4 linked regions of the Neurospora crassa OR74A genome follow. The protein of the gene in region 4 interacts with the protein of the main gene of each other region in a biochemical or structural test. Links are inferred from orthologs where the notes say so. Each region holds a gene or a part of one and is shown on either strand. Other genes may lie near its edges. The genes, in order: NCU00725, NCU02510, NCU10397 and NCU06105.

Region 1 (4,264 bases), on a different chromosome or scaffold from region 4:
TTTTCACTAAAATGGAAAGGAGGGGTCAGCCAATCCGAGAAGTGGGGGGCGGAGAAGGTACGTAGCTGCTCGCCACGTGATTGATTGTTGCGACTCGAGCTGTCGGCCTGTCGCCACGCCGCCTGTTTCGGTCTCGTTTGCCAGTGCGGCGGGAGACGACGAAACAGCAGGTCAGCTTGACAACGTGGAGTGGTATGAGCCTCTGCAAGTGTCATCTTTGGCGCATGTGGGCTTCGGATTGGTTCGTTGGCTCAGGAACACCAGTACGAACAAGTAAACAGCTGCCATCTGGTGTTGGCGCTTCCCCCCCGAGTCTCCAAGGTCCCGTCGGCCCTGACGCTGACGGCAATGACAATCAAAACTGCCACCACCCGTGTGTGTATAGTTGGCAGCTAAAGCGCTGGCAAGAGCTATCCAAAGACATCCGGGCCAAAGGACCGTAGACCCATGGCTCCATCATATGGCTTGTTGGGTCTTCATAGCGTTGCGATTGCCTCTTTCATTTGGAGTCCCCCTCTGTCAATGCAGCCATTGACGACATTGCGGAGCCATGGACGATACCCCAAGCCGAACAAGAGGGATGGACGGCATTAACGACCTTGATGGCCATGTCTGGGGTAGGGACCAAAAGGCGGTGGTGGTATTGTCAAACTAACAAACCTCACCCCTCATCTCGAGCGTGGATGGAAAAAAGGACATTCGAATTGAATCTGATGCCAAGAAATCCCGGGAATGGAAGCTCTCAGAGCTCTGCCACAGATAGAGCTTGGAGCTTTGGGCAAGCTCCCAGCCGGCAGGGAGAGCTCCTCTAGACAGAAAAGGCTCAAGAAGAACATGGCAACAAAAGTAAAAATGATAACGTACCGGTTGTGGAAGATGAAATCCTGGATGATTGTAGGATGATAATGAAGCTAAAAGTACAAGGTAAAGTCCGAACAAACGAACGATGGAAATCTGCTACACGGCGATGGATGCACAACAAAGACCTGAGACGAGAGGGAGAACGGAGTCGGGTCGGGTGTTTAACAATTTTTACTCCATCCAAAATGCATGGAAGCGAGCTCCGGCGGCCGAGCGTCCCCTCCCGCCGCCCCGCGTTGTCGGCCGGCCCGGCAATTACAAGCAGAATTCTTGCCTGAAAACTCAGGCTTCAAAGAGCTGAGACGCTCGTGCCAAGCTTTCAAAGTCTTGGCAGACCTCCTGGGTTCCACTGGCTTCTTGGTGTCAGGGTGTTGGGTCAAGCGCAGGGGTCGGCCTTGGACGGCGTCAGTTGAGGTCAGCGCTCAGCGGCACCCTGACGCTAGGCCACCTCAATGTCCATCTGATCCCGACAAGACCGTGAAACGTCGCCCTGAAAGCGATCAGCCCGAACAAAAACCACCAAGTCGCCACAGCATCCCGCCCGTCTGGCAATCATCACCGCGAGGCTCAGATTGGATCTAGAGAAGAATTACCTTAGCCCATCAGAACAATTCCCAGCAACTCCGGCGATAGACACGTTTACGCAATGGATTTCAATAGCCTCAAGGATACCGTGTCCAACCTGACACTCTACGACATCAAGGCTGGCGTACGAAAGGTTCAAAATGGTAGGTGACCACCTAGTCCAGAACCAAGACTCCCTCATGATTTCGTGTTCAGGGTGCTGACAATGGCTCCAACCAGCTGTCATGAACTATACCGAGATGGAGTCCAAGGTATGCCCGTATCCACGCGCCACACTGGCACCATTCTCTTGCGCCCTTCGCCATATACTTGATCCCAGACAAGAGACCATGGAACGGGAGCTGACAGCGAACCCAGGTGCGCGAGGCCACCAACAATGAACCTTGGGGTGCATCGTCGACTTTGATGCAAGAGATCGCCGATGGCACCTTCAACTAGTACGTTCTCGAGAACTGCTCGCTTGTATACGAACGCGGCTAACTTGCGTTTCCCTCCTTGTTCTTAGCCAAACACTCAACGAAATCATGCCCATGATTTACCGCCGTTTCACAGAAAAGTCCGCCGAAGAATGGCGCCAGATCTACAAGGCCCTTCAACTACTAGAGTACCTGATTAAGCACGGTTCCGAACGAGTGGTGGACGATGCTCGGTCGCATCTTACCCTCCTCAAGATGCTGCGCCAGTTCCATTTTATCGACCAGAACGGCAAAGACCAGGGTATCAACGTCCGCAACCGCGCCAAGGAACTCGCCGAGCTCCTCAGCGATGTCGAGCGTATCCGAGCAGAGCGCAAGAAGGCCCGCGCAAACAAGGGCAAGTTCACGGGCATTTCGGGTGGAATGAGCTTCTCCAGCGGGAGCAGCGGACGTTATGGCGGTTTCGGCAACACTTCGTATGGCGGTAGCAGCAGTGGTGGCGGTGGTAGCAGCTCTACCTACGGTGGCTATTCTGGAGGAGTTTATGGCGACGGAGGTGTTTTTGGTGGCCAGCCTTCCAACAACGACTACCGCGGGACCCAGGCACGGGCAGAGCAGTTTGAGGAATACGATGCAGGTGATTTGGACGCTGAGGCGTCGTCTCGTACCGCGCCAAGGACACCACGATCCACGACAGAAAGAGCCGGGGTCAAGAAAACAACAGCACCCGCCGAGCCGCCCAAGAAAAAGGAGCCCGAGATCGACTTGTTTTCCTTCGACGAGCCCGCAGCGCCATCCATCCCGACCGCGCCCCTCGCTGCCGCACCTTCCAACGGCTCTGGGCTTGCGGCTCTAGCCGGCGGCGCCAAAGACGACGACGACGAGTTCGATGATTTCCAGTCTGCAGCCCCCGCCACGCAGCCTGCTTCTGCAATTTCTCCCCCAATCGCCCCCCTCTCTACTGGCACACAGTTTGTTGCCCCGCAACCAGTTTCGGCGCCTCAGCAGGCCAACCTTAGCGGCATGGTTGCCCTCTCCTCCATCTCTCCTCCTCCCAGCTCCACGGCGACTCCTGCTGCCAACTTCTCGGCTTTCTCCACGCCCCTTTCGCCCGTCTCCCAGGCTCCCAAGCCAACTGGCTTCCAAGCCGGTCAGCCAAACTACTTTTCCCCGGTACAGCTGCAGACCCAGTCCACCGGGTCCTCGCTTTCAGGAACCAAGGCAACCGGTTCAGCTGCCTCCAAGCCAGCCGCTGGCGGTGACGCCTTCGGTGCGCTGTGGTCGCAGGCTAGTGCTGGAATCAAGAAGAGCACGCCTACCACCAAGGGTCCGGCTATCGGACAACTGGCCAAAGAGAAGAGTAGTGCTGGTATTTGGGGAACTCCTGCGCCCTCCACTCCGACCAGCGGTAGCAGGCCCACCACTGGCGGCAACCACGGGTTGGACGATCTGCTCGGTTAATTACCTGACTGGGTGTGAGGAGTTTTCCAAGGAGTATTTAGAACCGCTGTCGTCTACTTACGGAAGCGGGATCCTTGGAGTAGATCAAGGGTGTGCAGTTACACAAAGAGGAGATGAGCAGTTAAACGATTTATATTCCACGTAATGTTATTGGAGGTAGGGGTGGGTATCTTGCAGCGCCTCTCGTCTGCAACAAAATTTCACGTCTATTTATGCTGCATTCGGCTTCTTTGTGTTTGTCACGTTTTGTTTCCGCGTGCGAGTCCCTCAAAGAGTGAACTGATCCGTAACTTAAGTCCCCGTATACACTCATCCTCACCTTCACAATTCCAGAAGACCCAAGCCGGCTGTTGAGTCGCTCATGGTCAAGTAACCCGATGTTGCGGTCGATCTGTTGTTTTATCTTGTGGAATTCGCATAGCTTCCATCCCTGATGTTCGTTTGATGGAACTTTTACCACTGAAGCTCCTTGCCTTCTTTATTGGCTTCACTTCTGGCCCGTTATGAACTGGTGAACCCCCTCAACCCCCCCCCCCCCCCCCCCCCCCCCCCCCCTTTTCCGTCTGTCTTTATTTTTCTGGCATATCAGCCTCCTCGAATGGTTTGAACAACCGTAAGGCTGGAGCATCATCCCAACATGCAGTCCATCAACATGAGCTAGAATACTTCATCCAATAGTGAGTTCATGGATCGCAAAGTATGTGTCCAGTGACTCAAGCCTCCGCACTCGCCCTCGGCTCGGTATGACGGCGCAAGGCCAGCCTCGAACACCCTCGACCCACCGATCACAACCTCAACAGTCGATCAGTCATTACCACCAAAATGATTAATGACTACGAGCACCAAAGCGCACACTCATGGCCAATGCGTCGAAACGTCTGTTGCCGTGAGCAACACGGAAAAATCACAGATCAGTGGCTTTGATCTTGGAACCGTGCTCA
Region 2 (4,568 bases), on a different chromosome or scaffold from region 4:
CAGGTAGAGAACCAGGTCATGAACAAAGTTGAAGCGATCGCAGACAACCATCAAAGGAAGCATCTCGCTGAGCTTGGCCTCCTTGAGGAAGTTCTTCACCTTCTCGGGGTTGTAAACGCTGTTGTCGCGGCAGATACGCTCAACCTCGCGAATTTGTCCCATCTTGGTGGCAGCCTCAATGTACTTGAATACGACTTCGGGGTCCTCGGTGACATTGACGACACTGGCAAGGAAGTAGTAAAGACCTTCAGCAGTCTTGTACTTCTCAAAGAGATCAATCAATTGCTGCGCGCCGAGGAGCTCCGCATACTTGGTTGCGACTTGAACGACAGTCTGGAGATTCTGGCGAATATTGTGCTTCATCATGGCGTCCAGGCAGTCAAGCGATTGCTCAACAGACAGCGCCTTGAAATACTCAATCAACCACTCGGGGTTGTAGTTAGGCATTCCAGGGATGTTGACAATAACCCGCTTGATGGACGCAGGATCCTCATAGAGCTCCAGGGCCTTCTGCAAAAGACCTGCTTGCTCGCAGAGGTTCGCAATGTGCGCCTTGTCAAAGTGGGAGAACATGTCGTTGCCAAGAATGGCGTCAGCAACCTGGGGGGCGTTGACGAGGTTCATCTCCAATAGACGAGTCTGAAGGTGGGCATGCTCGGGCTTGTTATCCTTCAGAGCGTCAAGAAGGAAAGCAGTTGCTTGCTGGATCATTCCTTGAGACTGGAAGATGTCAACCACCTTCTCGAAGTCGACCAGCGGGCCGCCTTCGTGATTGGCAAGCGTCGTGGCAAACTCGGCACCCTTCTCAGCATTGACACGGACAATGTGGTGGAGAAGCTGAATAAAGTCAGGCTGGTAGTTGGCTTGACCGCAGTAGGGCAGAATCTTCTCAAACTGGCCAGTCTCGGCAAACCCAGCAACAACCTTGTGAGGAGCGTTGGCCTTCAAATAGATGGCAAGCGCCATGTTAATGTCGTGGGGCCGGACCATGTCACCAAGTCTCTCAGAGCACTCGAGCTTGTTCTCGCTGAGCCACTTCTGCAATAGCTGTTTGCGGTTCTGAGCGAGAACGGGTTGGGCAAGCTCAATGGTCTCATGCTCGTTCAGCGAACCCTTGTCTAGAAGCATACCAAAGTACTGCAAGATATGCGACATCTGTCCAGGCTGCTGTGGAAGACGCTTGAAGCGCTCGATGGTCTGAGGAGTGCGAAGGAAACCTCGAGGAGAGTTGGCAGCCACCTTGGCGGCCTCTTGGTAGTTGCCATTGCTGAAGAGTTGCTCGAAGCGTTGCTGGTAGAGGTTATCGGCGCCTGGGAGCCCTGCACGAGAAGCCAACTTGATAGCGAGCTCATTGCCGTGTGCCTCAAGGACGTAAGGAACGATTGTGTTCTCATCGGCGCTGACGAAGAGAACCTGTCCCTTGCGGTTGATGCCAATGACGCCGGTCGAATCCTTGTCACCGCAAGCAGTGAAGATAGTATCGCTTGAGATGCGGTTCATGAAGATACATGTGGCAGTCTCGAGGTCGTAGAGGTGGATGAAACCGTACTTGGTGATAAGGTAGATGATGCCGTACTTTTGCGAAACCTGGAGGGCGACGGGGAAGTCATTGCTGGCCTCGGGAGGGAAGAAGACGTCCACGGCCTTCTTGGGGAAGACGGGGTTTGTTTCGGGATGGTCGACCTCGACAATGTGGAGCTTCGCGCCGACGGCGGTGCGGACCGCAAAGGTAAACACCTTGGTGTCCTCCGGGGCGCCCTCTAGTCGGAGGGTGCCAAAAGCAGCGGCATGACCCTCAATAGCCTGGCTGATACCGCGGTCTTTGGAATAGAGCTGCATGGCGCCAACAACGCGGCCCTGCTGTTGTGAGATACCGACAACAACCATCCACTTTCCGTCGGCGCTGGTCCGATAATTAATTATTTGGTTGCCCTGGAGATTAGCATTACGATCGAAGACCTTGACCGGAGCGGGCTGGTTCGGGTCGAAGACATCCCAATGGTAAACAGAGCCATCTGTGATCAAGCCAAGCGTGGTCTCGCTAACCCACTTCCAGAACAAGACATCCTCGCTCATGTTTGTCGACTTGAGCTTGGCCTTGTTTTCGAGGTCGAAAATCTGGAGTGTGCGCGCCTGGGCCTTGAGGGCAATTACTTGGCGCGTCCAGTGCATTATGGCACTGTCGGCCTTGATGGGACGTCGGATAACATTATTGCCGTTCTTGAGATCGACGATGATGACTTCAGGGGACGCTGCCTCGTCCTTCTTGTCGCGAATACACACCCAGTTGTCCGATTCTAGAGTCTGGGAGCGGGGGGTTCACGTCAGCAGGGGTGCCAGAGGAGGCGCGACAACTGTCACTAGCAGAGTCAGAGCAAGGTGAGGACAACGTACACAGGTATTGAAAGTGATGGCAGTCTGGTTGATGCCGAGGGCGCTGAGTTGCAGCAGCTCCTGGAATTTGATGGGTAGGGCCTGAGCCATGATGGGCGGTGGTGTTGCGCTAAGCTGCGCGCAGAGTGACGAAGATTAGCAGCCAACTTATCAAAAGCGGCTGGAAGGTGAATCCGCTGGGAAGTAGAAAGATTGGGGAAATGGAGGCTCGTGAAGCTCCGTGGACTGAATGGAATGGCGGCGACGTGAAAGGAGGCGGTGGTGGTGGTGGTTGGTTGTACTTTGGGGGGAAAATGACCGAGCTCCCGAGAAATGGGGAGGGGGAAAGAGGACGGATGAATCAGGTAGGTAGAGGTAGGTAGGAGGTTGGAGGTGGAAGGATTAACGCAAGGTCCAGAAGGCAGGTACGCAGTAAAACCCGCCGCCAAACTGTGGGTGAGAGGTGAGTCGCGATTTGCCGCTCAGTTACAGATACGTAAAGTAAAGGCGAGCAGGTACCTCGATGTCACCTCACTTCAATGCTCCAGCAGAAAGAATAGAGAAGAATCGCGGTTGTTGAAGGATGCAAAGCAGCAAGAGGAGACGTCGTTTGTTACGGGAAGTTAGTACCGTGAGAGATGAAAGATACAGCAGGAAAGATGGAAGGTGCTGAGGTGAGATGCCTCTCCAGCTGTCCAGTGTGTTTGTACATGCCGCAACTGTTCAGCGCAGACGGAAGGTACCTCTAGTACCTCTCAGGTTACCTGCCTGCTTTTGAGTGATGTGTTAACACGGGACCTCGCGGCCGGGGCGTCCACCGCCCACCGGCGCCGGCTCCATTCAGTGCTTCCCCCTGCGTCGGGTGCGCCTAGACCAGGCGGCAGGCGCCTGCCCGGGAGGCCTGCCTGCCCCCTTCGCTTCAAGCTGTCCGCCCGGTCCAGGTTGCCCGCCCTCATCCCGTCATCCTTCTACTTTCCTTTGCCCGCATTGATCGCCTCTCCTGCGAGGTCCGTCAGACGGTCCTTCCATTTCCTACCTCTAGGTACCTTATACCTCCAGGCCGCCTGCCTCCGGGGGCGCCGTTCATGCCGGGCTCCAGGGGCAGCTGTTCCCTACTCCAGAACAGCCCAGCTCCAGGGGTAGCGTCAGCTGTTGCTACAGGGATTCCGAACTTGGCCCAGCTTGACTAATGTGGGGCACTGACCAATGGCTCACCTTTTGGGACCGCAGTGAGGTGGAACCCGATTTGAGGAAAGAGACTTGGCATTGCTATCGATAAGCTTTTTCAGAAAAGAAAATCGACCCGGAGAAATATCCACAAGCGCCTGTCGATGGTGGGCTATCAGTGTTCAAACCAACCCCAACAACATCCCAATCACCACCAGACGACCAGCAATACCATCAAAATGGGTGTCGGACGTCGCATGCAGAAACAGGGCCCTCCTGAGCCCCTCTCGGAGGAGCACTTCGCCAACCTCAAGCGCAAGAAGGGCATTCCCTTTGACGAAACCACGACCGAAGTCGACACTAGAAGATCCAAGAAGCAGAAGATTGTCAAGAAGCAGCCCAAGACATCCGGCTCCAACACTGTCGCAGTCAAGGGCGCCAAGAAAGAGGTCAAGGAGGTGAAGAAGACTGGCACAAAGCCCGCCCACAGGTCCAAGGAGTCCAAGAAGCCTAAGAAGGCAAAGCAGCCTTCGCCCGATCATGACGAGGAGATGGACGACGAGTTTGGCGCGTCCGACCTGGAGGGCCTTGATATCGACGGCGATGAGATGGACGTTCAAAAGCTAGGAGACGATTTCCTCGGCACTGACGACGACTCGGTTTACGATTCCGACCAGGACGGTGCTACCAAGAAGGAGGCATTCGTCTTCTCTGACGATGAGGATGACGAAGAGGATAGAGAGGAGAAGCTCACAGCCGCCAACATCGAGGGTCTTTCGAGGAAATTGGATATGCAAAGAGAGAAGGAAGCAGAGGAGAACGAGGCCGAATTGCGCGACGAGGCGCTCCAGACCAACATCGCTGGTGGTGATGACCTCGGTGATGACGACGACCAACTTCAGACTAAGACCAAAACTTTGCTGGCACCCGATCTCCAGATGTTGAGAACGAGGATAACAGACGCCATCCGTATCCTGGACGACTTTTCGAATTCGGCGGAAGAGGGCAAGAGTCGCGCCGAGTACACC
Region 3 (4,428 bases), on a different chromosome or scaffold from region 4:
AAGACGAACTCTCCAAATCCGGCGTCGTCCCCACCGCCATCTTCTTCACCCGCGTCTGGGGTCCCTCGGCCTTCACCGAGCGCGTCATGCCTCTCTTCCTCGCCCTCTCCGCGCTCGGCAACGTCTTTGCGCAATCCTTCGCCATGCCCCGTGTGAAGCAGGAGCTCGCAAAGGAAGGCACTCTCCCCTTCTCGCGCTTCTGGGCGAGCGACTGGCCCGAGCAAAAGTCGCCGACGGGCGCCATTTTGCTGCATTGGATCTTCACCGTGGCCTTGATCCTCGGATCCAGCACCAAGGACGTGTACCAGTTTCTGTCCAACATTTTTACCTACTCGGGCAACTGGATCAAGGTCTTCCTGGGGGTGGGGCTGCTGTATCTCAACTTTACGCCGAGCGAGAACTGGACGACGCCGGAGAACAAGCGGTTCCATAGTTATCCCGTCCTGACGGTGTTTTGGGTTGTCGGGCTGCTGTATACCTGTGCGGCGCCGTTTATCCCGAACACGCTGCTGACCAAGGTTCACTTTTCGGTGGTGCCGGCGCTGGGGACGGGCATGCTGGTTATCGGCGTCATGTATTGGGTGGTTTGGGCCAAGGTGTTGCCGGCGTTTGGGTTCTCTATACAGCACGAGGTGGTGGTGTTGCCGGATGGGAGTGAGAGGGTCAAGTATAAGAGGGTGAGGCCGAGGGGAGGTAGGAGTGGTGCGAGAGGGAGGAGGAATGGGGGGAGGGGAGGGGGGAGAGGAGGAGGAGGAGGAGGAGGGACGACTGTTGTGTGGAGGTGATAGGACGTGTGCACTTGTCGATGTAGAGAAGATACAACGTAGAATAGTAGATCAATGATTCGCGTCTTCGTTTCAGGAACAAGATAAAAGGGGATTTGTTTACTTTGGATGGAGTCTGTGTCCTTTTACCCCTTTTTTTTCATCTTTTTTTCCCTTGGAGCAGAGCCCCTTTTTCGGATGGCGCAAGCGCCCTGGGATCGATCTACTTTGGCCGGTGGAACTAGCACTAAGTGTCTGATCAACATGCCGGTGGGTTAGATCTTCGTGTTCACTTCCATGAATCCCCAATACGAGATGGACCATTGATATGATTTGGGGTGTCATGTTGATGGGAATCCCAACCGCCAAGACGAAACAAGAGCGGATGGGAACACTGTTTCAGCGGTCGTTGGCAGACGCCAAGTGCCTGTAGCAGGGCAAAGGAAAGGCGCTGTGGACGGACACACTGCAGCCGAGGCGGACAAGTCGGCCAGGTGGGGAACGGGACGCGGGGCTCCATCGGGCTTAGCGGATAGGTCCCGTTCAATGTGCCGTGCGAGCGGGTGTTGTTGTATCGAACAATTATTCCTTTCAGTGGACTGCGGCCCCCCCCCCCCCCCCCTGACAGCAGTGACGGCCAACCTCCACCTTCGGAACACCACTTGACACCACCCGGGCACCCTGGCGAGCGAGAGGAAGTGGTTTTGGTGTCCTTCTTGGGAATACTACCTCTACCACCACCACCACCACCACCACATTTCAGTCTCACTTGTCAACACCATAACGAGTAACGACCTAAGCGCGCCCGGCCCCGTCAGCCATGCTCCAGCAGCCCTACGCCGTCGACTCCGTTCATGTTCAAGTCCGATGAAGGCATTGCTTGCGCATGCATGCCTTGCTGCCCTCTGTATCCGTCCATTCTCCAGCCAGCCAGCCAGCCAGCTCCAGTTCCAAGTTAGCTTCCGTCTAGACTGAGTGTACCTACCTAGCTGCTCGATTCTCCCACCTACGCCTACGCCTCGCTTCACCACTTCAGCCTCGCCAGCCCGACATTGACTCTTTCCTCCCATAATCCCCGAGTCGATCTGCGGTCGACCCTCGTTGCGCCATAACCAATGTCTTGGGACTTGTTAAAGCGGTTCCTCGAGAGCGACGTCTTCAACCAAAACCCCTTTCTCTCCGTCTCCTACCTCTCGTCAGTCAGCCATTCCGTTTTGCCAAGATTCGCTACCCCTCCTCCTCCTCCTCCTCCCCCTCCTCCTCCTCCTCCTCTTTCTCTCCTCCTCACTCGGCGCGGCGCGTATCAGTACTGGCCTGGCAAGACACACACTAACATGACCGCACCGCCAGACGATATGCCGACCACATAGGAATTCACTATGTGCTGTGCAGCAAGCTGCGCCAGTTCCCCTACGAGGACATCGAGTTCTTCCTCCCTCAGCTCTGTCACCTTATCATCAGCATCGACAATGAGTCCATGGCCCTGGAGGAGTTTCTCCTCGACCTGTGCGAGGAGTCGGTCACAGCAGCCTTGTTGGTGCGCAGCCCTCTATACACCATCTGACGCTTTGCACGACTCCGAATTGCTGATATCTCGCCCGCTCGCAGACATTCTGGCTCTTCCAAACATACCTACACGACCTATCCGCTAATCCACAGGCCAATGCCTTCAAAATATGCCAGAGAGTGTACAACAAGGTGCAGCATATCGTCTTTGGCGTCTCCGACAGTGCAAGGAACGAGAAGATTACGGAAAACGCTTTGCCAGTGACTGTCCTAGGGAGCTTCGTTCTCGCCAGTATCGCCGCCCCGTTTCTCCCCCATTGGGCTGGCCCGCTTGCCGTCGCGCAAGCCAGAAAGCCCCGCCCTCAAGTCATCGAACCTGTGTTGGACGCTACTCCCGTCAACGCCGCCCCACCTGCTCGCGCGCATACCGTCACTGCTGGTACAACAAAATCGAGACGGGCAAAGGAGGCCCGCCTTACAAGCTCATCGGACCATCAGCTCCAGAGCAACAACAGCAGCCCGGTGGCGCATCGCCCCAAGCCCAAGATCAAGGAACCTCAGCCTGACTCCCGGCCGACGTCTTCGGGGTCTTCTATCAAAACGCCGGTAGAGACCAAGCGACCTACTCCTTTCGATTCCAACGTCTTGGAGGCGCGCCTTAGTTCATCTTCACTGCCTCTACCAACGTCGAATGCCAATTCTCCAGGTCTTGTACACAGGCCGACCACTCCGGCCCTGCGGCCAACGACTGGAGTGAACAGGAGGCACTCGCACCATGTCAAGACGCTCTTGAACCAAGCGGACATGAGCCGCACACAAAAGATGCGGCTACTAAAACAAAACTACTTCCACTGCCAAACAGCATTCCTGACCGCACTAGAGGATATTTCAAACCGACTAGTAATAGTACCAAAGGCTGCACGCCTAAGTGCCCTACGCGCTGAGCTGGCTCTAATCGCTCAAGAACTCCCGGCCGAGGTCGATATCCCAGTCATCTGCCCTCCTACTTTGGTCAACGGCTCTCCTTCGCAGAGCCGACATCACAGGATAGTCCGTCTCAACCCGGCTGAGGCCACGGTACTGAACAGTGCTGAGAAAGTGCCTTTCCTGCTTATGGTTGAGATTTTGAGAGAAGATCTCACATTTGACCCGGATTCTCAAGATAATCAGAGACTTCTGACACAGCTTTTGGTCGAACAAGGAACCAGGAGGCGGATTTTTGACCTTTCCGAGTCTTCTAGGATACCAGCCACACCCCGTTCACAGGAGCCCGTCATCGATAGTGTTTTTGAGCCTTCCTCGGGGGATCTAGGGCACTCGCCACTAATAAAACCGTTCAACGACGAGCCCTTTGCCATACAGCATAACCCCGTTCCTGGCGGTCTCCGCCATGCTGCCACTACTGGGACCAGCTCGACACAATTTGTTGATCTGACGTCAACGCCTCGCAGTTCTGGCACTTCGGGATCCTCTACCCCACCTTTCAGGAGGATGACCCTCCAAAGTCCGCGCAACAACGCGGCCGCCGACCAACCTGATTTCTCTGCCCTTGCCATCCATATGCGGACAGCCTCGCAAATGTTGGCGCAGTTGGATGCAACAAGTGGCAAGCGGCCGCGTCATGAAGTGGCCGCAATCAGGGCAAAGATTATTGCCAGCATGCAGAGTCTGGAGGAGGAGAGTTTTGAAGTCCATGATAGCCAAGGGCCGACCTTCGACATGATTATGGCCAAGGCCAGTGCAGAAAACGTTATCAACGGCAATGTCGCCACGGACGAAGAAATCGAGGCTCCCCTGGAGAAGGTCGAGTCTAACGTGAATCCAAACGCCGGTCTAGCAAGGATGGAAAACGATATCAAGACAGGCGGTCTCCAGCGCAAGGGCGATCGTGATGATCCCAGCGCTGCCGTCTTCGGAGAAGCTTGGGAGATGAAGAAGGAGCGTATCCGCAAGTCCTCTCCTTACGGCTGGATGAAGAACTGGGATCTCGTCAGCGTCATTGTCAAAACGGGTGCGGATCTCCGTCAGGAGGCATTCGCCTGCCAGCTGATCCGCGTGTGCCACAAGATCTGGGTAGAGCACAACGTGCCCGTCTGGGTGAAGCTCATGCGCATTCTTGTTACGGGCGAGTCGTGCGGTCTGATAGAGACCATTGCCA
Region 4 (4,420 bases):
TGTGGCTAATATGTCCTTCGTCTCCTTTCTTTGATCCAGCCGAACAACTCCCAGTAAACAGAAAAGTCGACCGCAGCGATATTCTTGTTGTTCTTGCCGGTCATCGGATCACTACATATTAATTGGCTCTGTACTACTATGAATGAATTTTGAACGTAAACATGCACGCAACCCTGTTCTCATTCTTGTGGCCCTCGTTCTTACCAAAGTTCCTGCTTATGCCACACTGAACTCGGGAATCTCACCCATCTCGGCCTTTGCTTCCGCTCCAACCTTGTATGATACCCTCCACCTGAGTTTCACGCTCTCTACCTTCCTGGTCTTGTCCGCCGTATACCATACGTTGACTGACTGGGTAATGCCCCGGCTCTGCTTGGGGGTAAGAGTCCGTCCTGTTTGAGGCTGAAGTTGCAATTCGTATCCCTGTTCAAGCATCACAATTAGCATCTCGCTTGAGGGCTTTCTACAACTGACGAAGGCACATAACGTAGCCCAAAACATTTTTGGTCAAAGTGCCAAGGGTCAGATTAGTGAGCTTACCTTGGTGACAGCCAACTGGAAATGCACCTCGGTGATGGGTTGCGCTGTGTTGTTGCTAAAAGCAAATTGCATAGAAATGGCTGGAGATGGGCCATTGGACAGAGATCTGACAGCCACCATGTCGACCTTGAGCGCAGTGTTAGAAACAACGGCTCTGTGCTCCTTAGGCTGGGCGGGTGTCGCCTCAGGAGGCAGTGCCGAGGAGAAAGACCACTCGTCATCGTCATTACCGGTAGCAGCTGGTGCTGGCGCTGGCGCCGGGGTAGATGAAGAGGAGAGAGAGGCTAGAGCAGCAAATGGGTCGTTGGACGCTGTTGACGACGCAGCTGGCGCGGAAAAAGCGGATGCTGTATACGCGGGAGGCTTGGGGGTGCTTGATTGAGAAGCAACTGGTGATGCGAATGAGTTGAAATTGTTGAAAGAGGATGGGCCAGGTTGAGGGGAGGGGCCCCGTGCGGTGCTGTTCTGCGTGGTGGATGAGAGCAGTGCCGGTCCAGGAATGTCTGTGGTGATCTGTTAGCAACATTCTCTTTGACTCTTGCACGGAAAGCAGCGAGTGACATACTCGTATTGGCACCGAACCCGAGGGCAATGCCACCTCCTTGACCATAAGAGCTGGTTTCACCCAGCGACAGGCCAAGCAAGTCGTTGTCGAGGCTGTTTCCTCCCTGGGGTGCGGACTGGCTGGTCGAGTCCCCCCCGCTTGGCTCAGCATCAAAATCAATGAGCGACAGCTCTTGCGCCGCACTCTTGCCAGCACCACTTCCACTGCCGTTGCTTGTGCTTGCAACTGGCGCGCCACTTGCCAATGCCTTGGCACCCTCTATATCGCCCTTCTTCAGCAACCTATATCTCTCCACAGTTCGGTGTATGCTGTCGTTGATTTCGAGAAGTTTTGCGACTGCTTCATGGTCGTCTGATTCTTCCTCGCACATCTTCTGGATCTTTGGTTGGGCGCTAGACAGGGCGGCTGCGAGCTCGGAAAACACATCGCCATCCACGATCTTGTCGCCGGGTTGAAAGGCTTCTAACCGCTCCTCGAGAAGTCTCGCTTTTTGTTGGATTTTGCCCACGTCCTCGGCCGCCTTGGCGCGGTAATCCACCTTGGATCTCGTGTCATAGCCAGCCATGACCTTCATGAGTCGATTAGCCTCCTGGAGGTCCTCGGGAGTACCTCGACGGATAAGCTCCTGCAGCTTGGCGGACTGCGCCTCGCGTTCCTCCTCTTCCATTTCCTCGACAGATTTTAGGTTCTGTGACAGATAGGTTAGACACGCTTCAACAATGACCCATGGAATCGGGACGGAACACTTACATCACTCGGGTTAAGCACAGCAGCATCCTCCCTTCTGACTTCCGGGAAGGTGTACCCCTTGTAGCTCAGCAAGCGGTGCATGTCCCTGATGAAGCCCAAGTCCTCTTTATATCTGCTCGTTTCGCAAATCGTACAGCGCCACTCCTCAATGGCTTCGAGGATCTTGAGCTGGACACGGGTGGGGCGAATCGGGGGCCGCTCGGGAAAGCGGCGTACCAGCTCATTGAGAAACTCCTTTGTGCTGATCTGGAGGTGGAAGGGGTAGCCGCAGTTCTTGACGCAGATGTCGAGCAGGTTGAGGGCCAGCAGCGAAACGTTGGGGTTGCGGTTGTTTATGTAGTTGACGATGGCCACGGCGGCCTCTCGAGGGGCGGAACCCTTCTTGGAGTTGATCAAGTCGGCGATCTCGAGGTTCAGGGCCAAGTTGGGTTCGTAGTTGTCGGGACTGCAGGCGGCCGTGATGAAGCGCTGAAGCTGGGACGGGGCCGGGCGGCCCATCTCGGCCCACCGGTCGCGCGTGGCATAGCGGGCAGACGCCGCCTCCATGTTGCCGGCGTTCTCGGGGAGTCGGGACGTGTTGAGTGGTGGATGAGGAGACTGACGAGACTGAAGAGACCGAGGAGGTATTGGGGCCAGATTGCGCAGCTTGGCGGGAGTCGCCTGGATAGGTAGGTAATGGATGGCGGCAACCAGGACCCAACCAAGCCTTTGGTCGGTCAAGCTCTAGTGTAGTCTAGAGGAGTTGTGTGCTAGAGGTAAGGTAGGTACCTAGTGAAGCTCCCCCTCTTCCCGGTAAGCCGTTGGGATTATTACCAAGTATGGTGAGTAGAGGTATGGTATGGTACTACTACAGTTTGATACTTCGTTATACACCCAGAGACTGGACTATGATTCGATCCGAACTTCTGTACCTAGAGGTAACGGGAATGTGTCCACCTGGATCGCTGGCTGATGGAAGGAGGAGAGGCCTACTGCTGCTAGGGGACGGGAGCTTACACGGCTAGGTCAGGTCGTGGACCCCTCTCAGTGCTCTGGACGGACGGGTTGGGCTTGGGCCTGCGCTGTTGCCTGCCGTTGAGGTTGTTGGGGCGCAAGGAAAAATGGAGCCGCACATCGGTACGTTGCGAGACTGCGTTACAAGAATACTATCTTTGTGGATGAATAATACACTGCAATTTCAATCCACAGCACCTCGACAAGCGCCTCCAGCATGGTGTAAGCGCGGCAGACGCTTGCGAATCGAGCATCTTCCGCAGCAACAATCGGTGAGTTGCATGAATCCGGGGAAGACGTCAATCATGGACATCCTCAGCGGACCCACCTGTCCACCCCACCTGCACCAACTGAACCCCAAATGCGATGTCGTCAAGGTCTTCAAATCGCATCCATAACTTTTTTCGCCATCTGCCACTTCAACCTTGTAGCGCAAGCAGCTCGCATTGTGGTCCAAGACGGCACGCATATTTCCATCCAAGTTCTGCCCTGGTAAAGCAAGGCAGTGCTAGGTCGTGCCAAAATCATCCATCCATTGCGACATAAAAAAAAGTCCGTCAATTACAAGCTTCAACCCCAGAGCCAAAACCATCGGCACTCCATCTCGACAACATCCATCCTCCCGACGAAATTCAAACCATCACCACTATGGTCCGCCACAAAAAGGACGGCTTCTCCTCGCGCGGCGGCAAAGGCGGCCATGGTCGGAACGCGCCCCGCAACAACCCCCGCAGCAGCAAAGGCCCCCGAGACAATGCCGGCAGCGGCGGCGAAGACACCACAGCCAACCCTCACGACCCGTCCACGTCCTCACGCCCCTACCGCCCTCCCTTCAAGGCCGCCTGCTGGGACCTAGGCCACTGCGACCCGAAGCGGTGCTCAGGCAAGAAGCTGATGAAACTCGGTCTCATGCGCGAGCTGCACCTGGGCCAGCGACACTCGGGCGTCATCATCACGCCCAACGGCAAGCGGGTCGTGTCGCCCGCCGACAAGGAGCTGATGGAGCAGTATGGCGCGGCGGTGGTGGAGTGCTCGTGGGCCCGCACCAAGGAGGTGGAGTGGAAAAAGGTGGGCGGCAAGTGCGAGCGCTTGTTGCCGTACCTCGTGGCGGCCAACACGGTCAACTATGGTAAGCCGTTTCGGCTGAACTGCGTGGAGGCGCTGGCGGCGGCCTTTGCCATCTGTGGTCATTTGGAGTGGGCGGAAGAGATTTTGGCTCCGTTTTCTTACGGCAGGGCATTCCTGGATATCAACTCGAAGCTGTTCAAGATCTACTCGGCGTGCAAGGATGAGGAGGAGATCAAGAAGGCGGAGGAGGCGTGGAGGGAGAGGCTAGAAAAAGAGTATACTGAGAGCAGAGAGGGAGAGTCGGATGACATTTGGACGACCGGAAACACAAATCGGAGGCCAGCTATGGATGACTCAGATGAGGAGGACGACGACGAAGACGACGAGGAAGATAGCGATGAGGAGGCAGACAGTAACGACGAAGACGGCAGCGTAGACGGTATCTACCTTGGCACCAAACCACCGCCCAAACAGAAACAACCAGCCGAAGAGGAGTCAGAGGAA

The links.
Region 1: the proteins of NCU06105 (region 4) and NCU00725 form a complex in vitro, tested with the Saccharomyces cerevisiae proteins (2 studies listed by BioGRID). The link is inferred for Neurospora crassa OR74A from reciprocal best matches to the Saccharomyces cerevisiae genes GGA2 and ENT3.
Region 2: the proteins of NCU06105 (region 4) and NCU02510 form a complex in vitro, tested with the Saccharomyces cerevisiae proteins (2 studies listed by BioGRID). The link is inferred for Neurospora crassa OR74A from reciprocal best matches to the Saccharomyces cerevisiae genes GGA2 and CHC1.
Region 3: the proteins of NCU06105 (region 4) and NCU10397 form a complex in vitro, tested with the Saccharomyces cerevisiae proteins (2 studies listed by BioGRID). The link is inferred for Neurospora crassa OR74A from reciprocal best matches to the Saccharomyces cerevisiae genes GGA2 and PIK1.

Annotation. Positions count from the first base shown.
Region 1 is NC_026501.1:7,405,331-7,409,594, forward strand, and holds NCU00725 (epsin-3), read left to right. Parts: upstream 1-1,282; 5' UTR 1,283-1,507; coding exon 1,508-1,589; intron 1,590-1,665; coding exon 1,666-1,697; intron 1,698-1,803; coding exon 1,804-1,883; intron 1,884-1,951; coding exon 1,952-3,323; 3' UTR 3,324-3,619; downstream 3,620-4,264. Other genes in the region: csr-1 (peptidyl-prolyl cis-trans isomerase), read right to left, coding at 1-1. UniProt on the Saccharomyces cerevisiae protein: Involved in the recruitment of clathrin to the Golgi network and endosomes to form clathrin coated vesicles. Plays a role in the trafficking of clathrin between the Golgi network and endosomes.
Region 2 is NC_026501.1:2,562,395-2,566,962, forward strand, and holds the start of NCU02510 (clathrin heavy chain), read right to left. Parts: upstream 3,085-4,568; 5' UTR 2,485-3,084; coding exon 2,395-2,484; intron 2,305-2,394; coding exon 1-2,304. Other genes in the region: NCU02511 (S-adenosylmethionine-dependent methyltransferase superfamily domain-containing protein), read left to right, coding at 3,705-4,568. UniProt on the Saccharomyces cerevisiae protein: Clathrin is the major protein of the polyhedral coat of coated pits and vesicles. In yeast, it is involved in the retention of proteins in an intracellular membrane compartment, presumably the trans-Golgi.
Region 3 is NC_026503.1:1,284,577-1,289,004, forward strand, and holds the start of NCU10397 (phosphatidylinositol 4-kinase PIK1a), read left to right. Parts: upstream 1-1,448; 5' UTR 1,449-1,879; coding exon 1,880-1,959; intron 1,960-2,114; coding exon 2,115-2,301; intron 2,302-2,372; coding exon 2,373-4,428. Other genes in the region: NCU10675 (methionine permease), read left to right, coding at 1-785. UniProt on the Saccharomyces cerevisiae protein: Acts on phosphatidylinositol (PI) in the first committed step in the production of the second messenger inositol 1,4,5,-trisphosphate. PIK1 is part of a nuclear phosphoinositide cycle and could control cytokinesis through the actin cytoskeleton.
Region 4 is NC_026507.1:1,783,395-1,787,814, forward strand, and holds the start of NCU06105 (ADP-ribosylation factor-binding protein GGA1), read right to left. Parts: upstream 2,982-4,420; 5' UTR 2,402-2,981; coding exon 1,856-2,401; intron 1,794-1,855; coding exon 1,106-1,793; intron 1,044-1,105; coding exon 541-1,043; intron 424-540; coding exon 217-423; 3' UTR 1-216. Other genes in the region: NCU06104 (RLI and DUF367 domain-containing protein), read left to right, coding at 3,497-4,420. UniProt on the Saccharomyces cerevisiae protein: May play a role in the regulation of membrane traffic through the trans-Golgi network.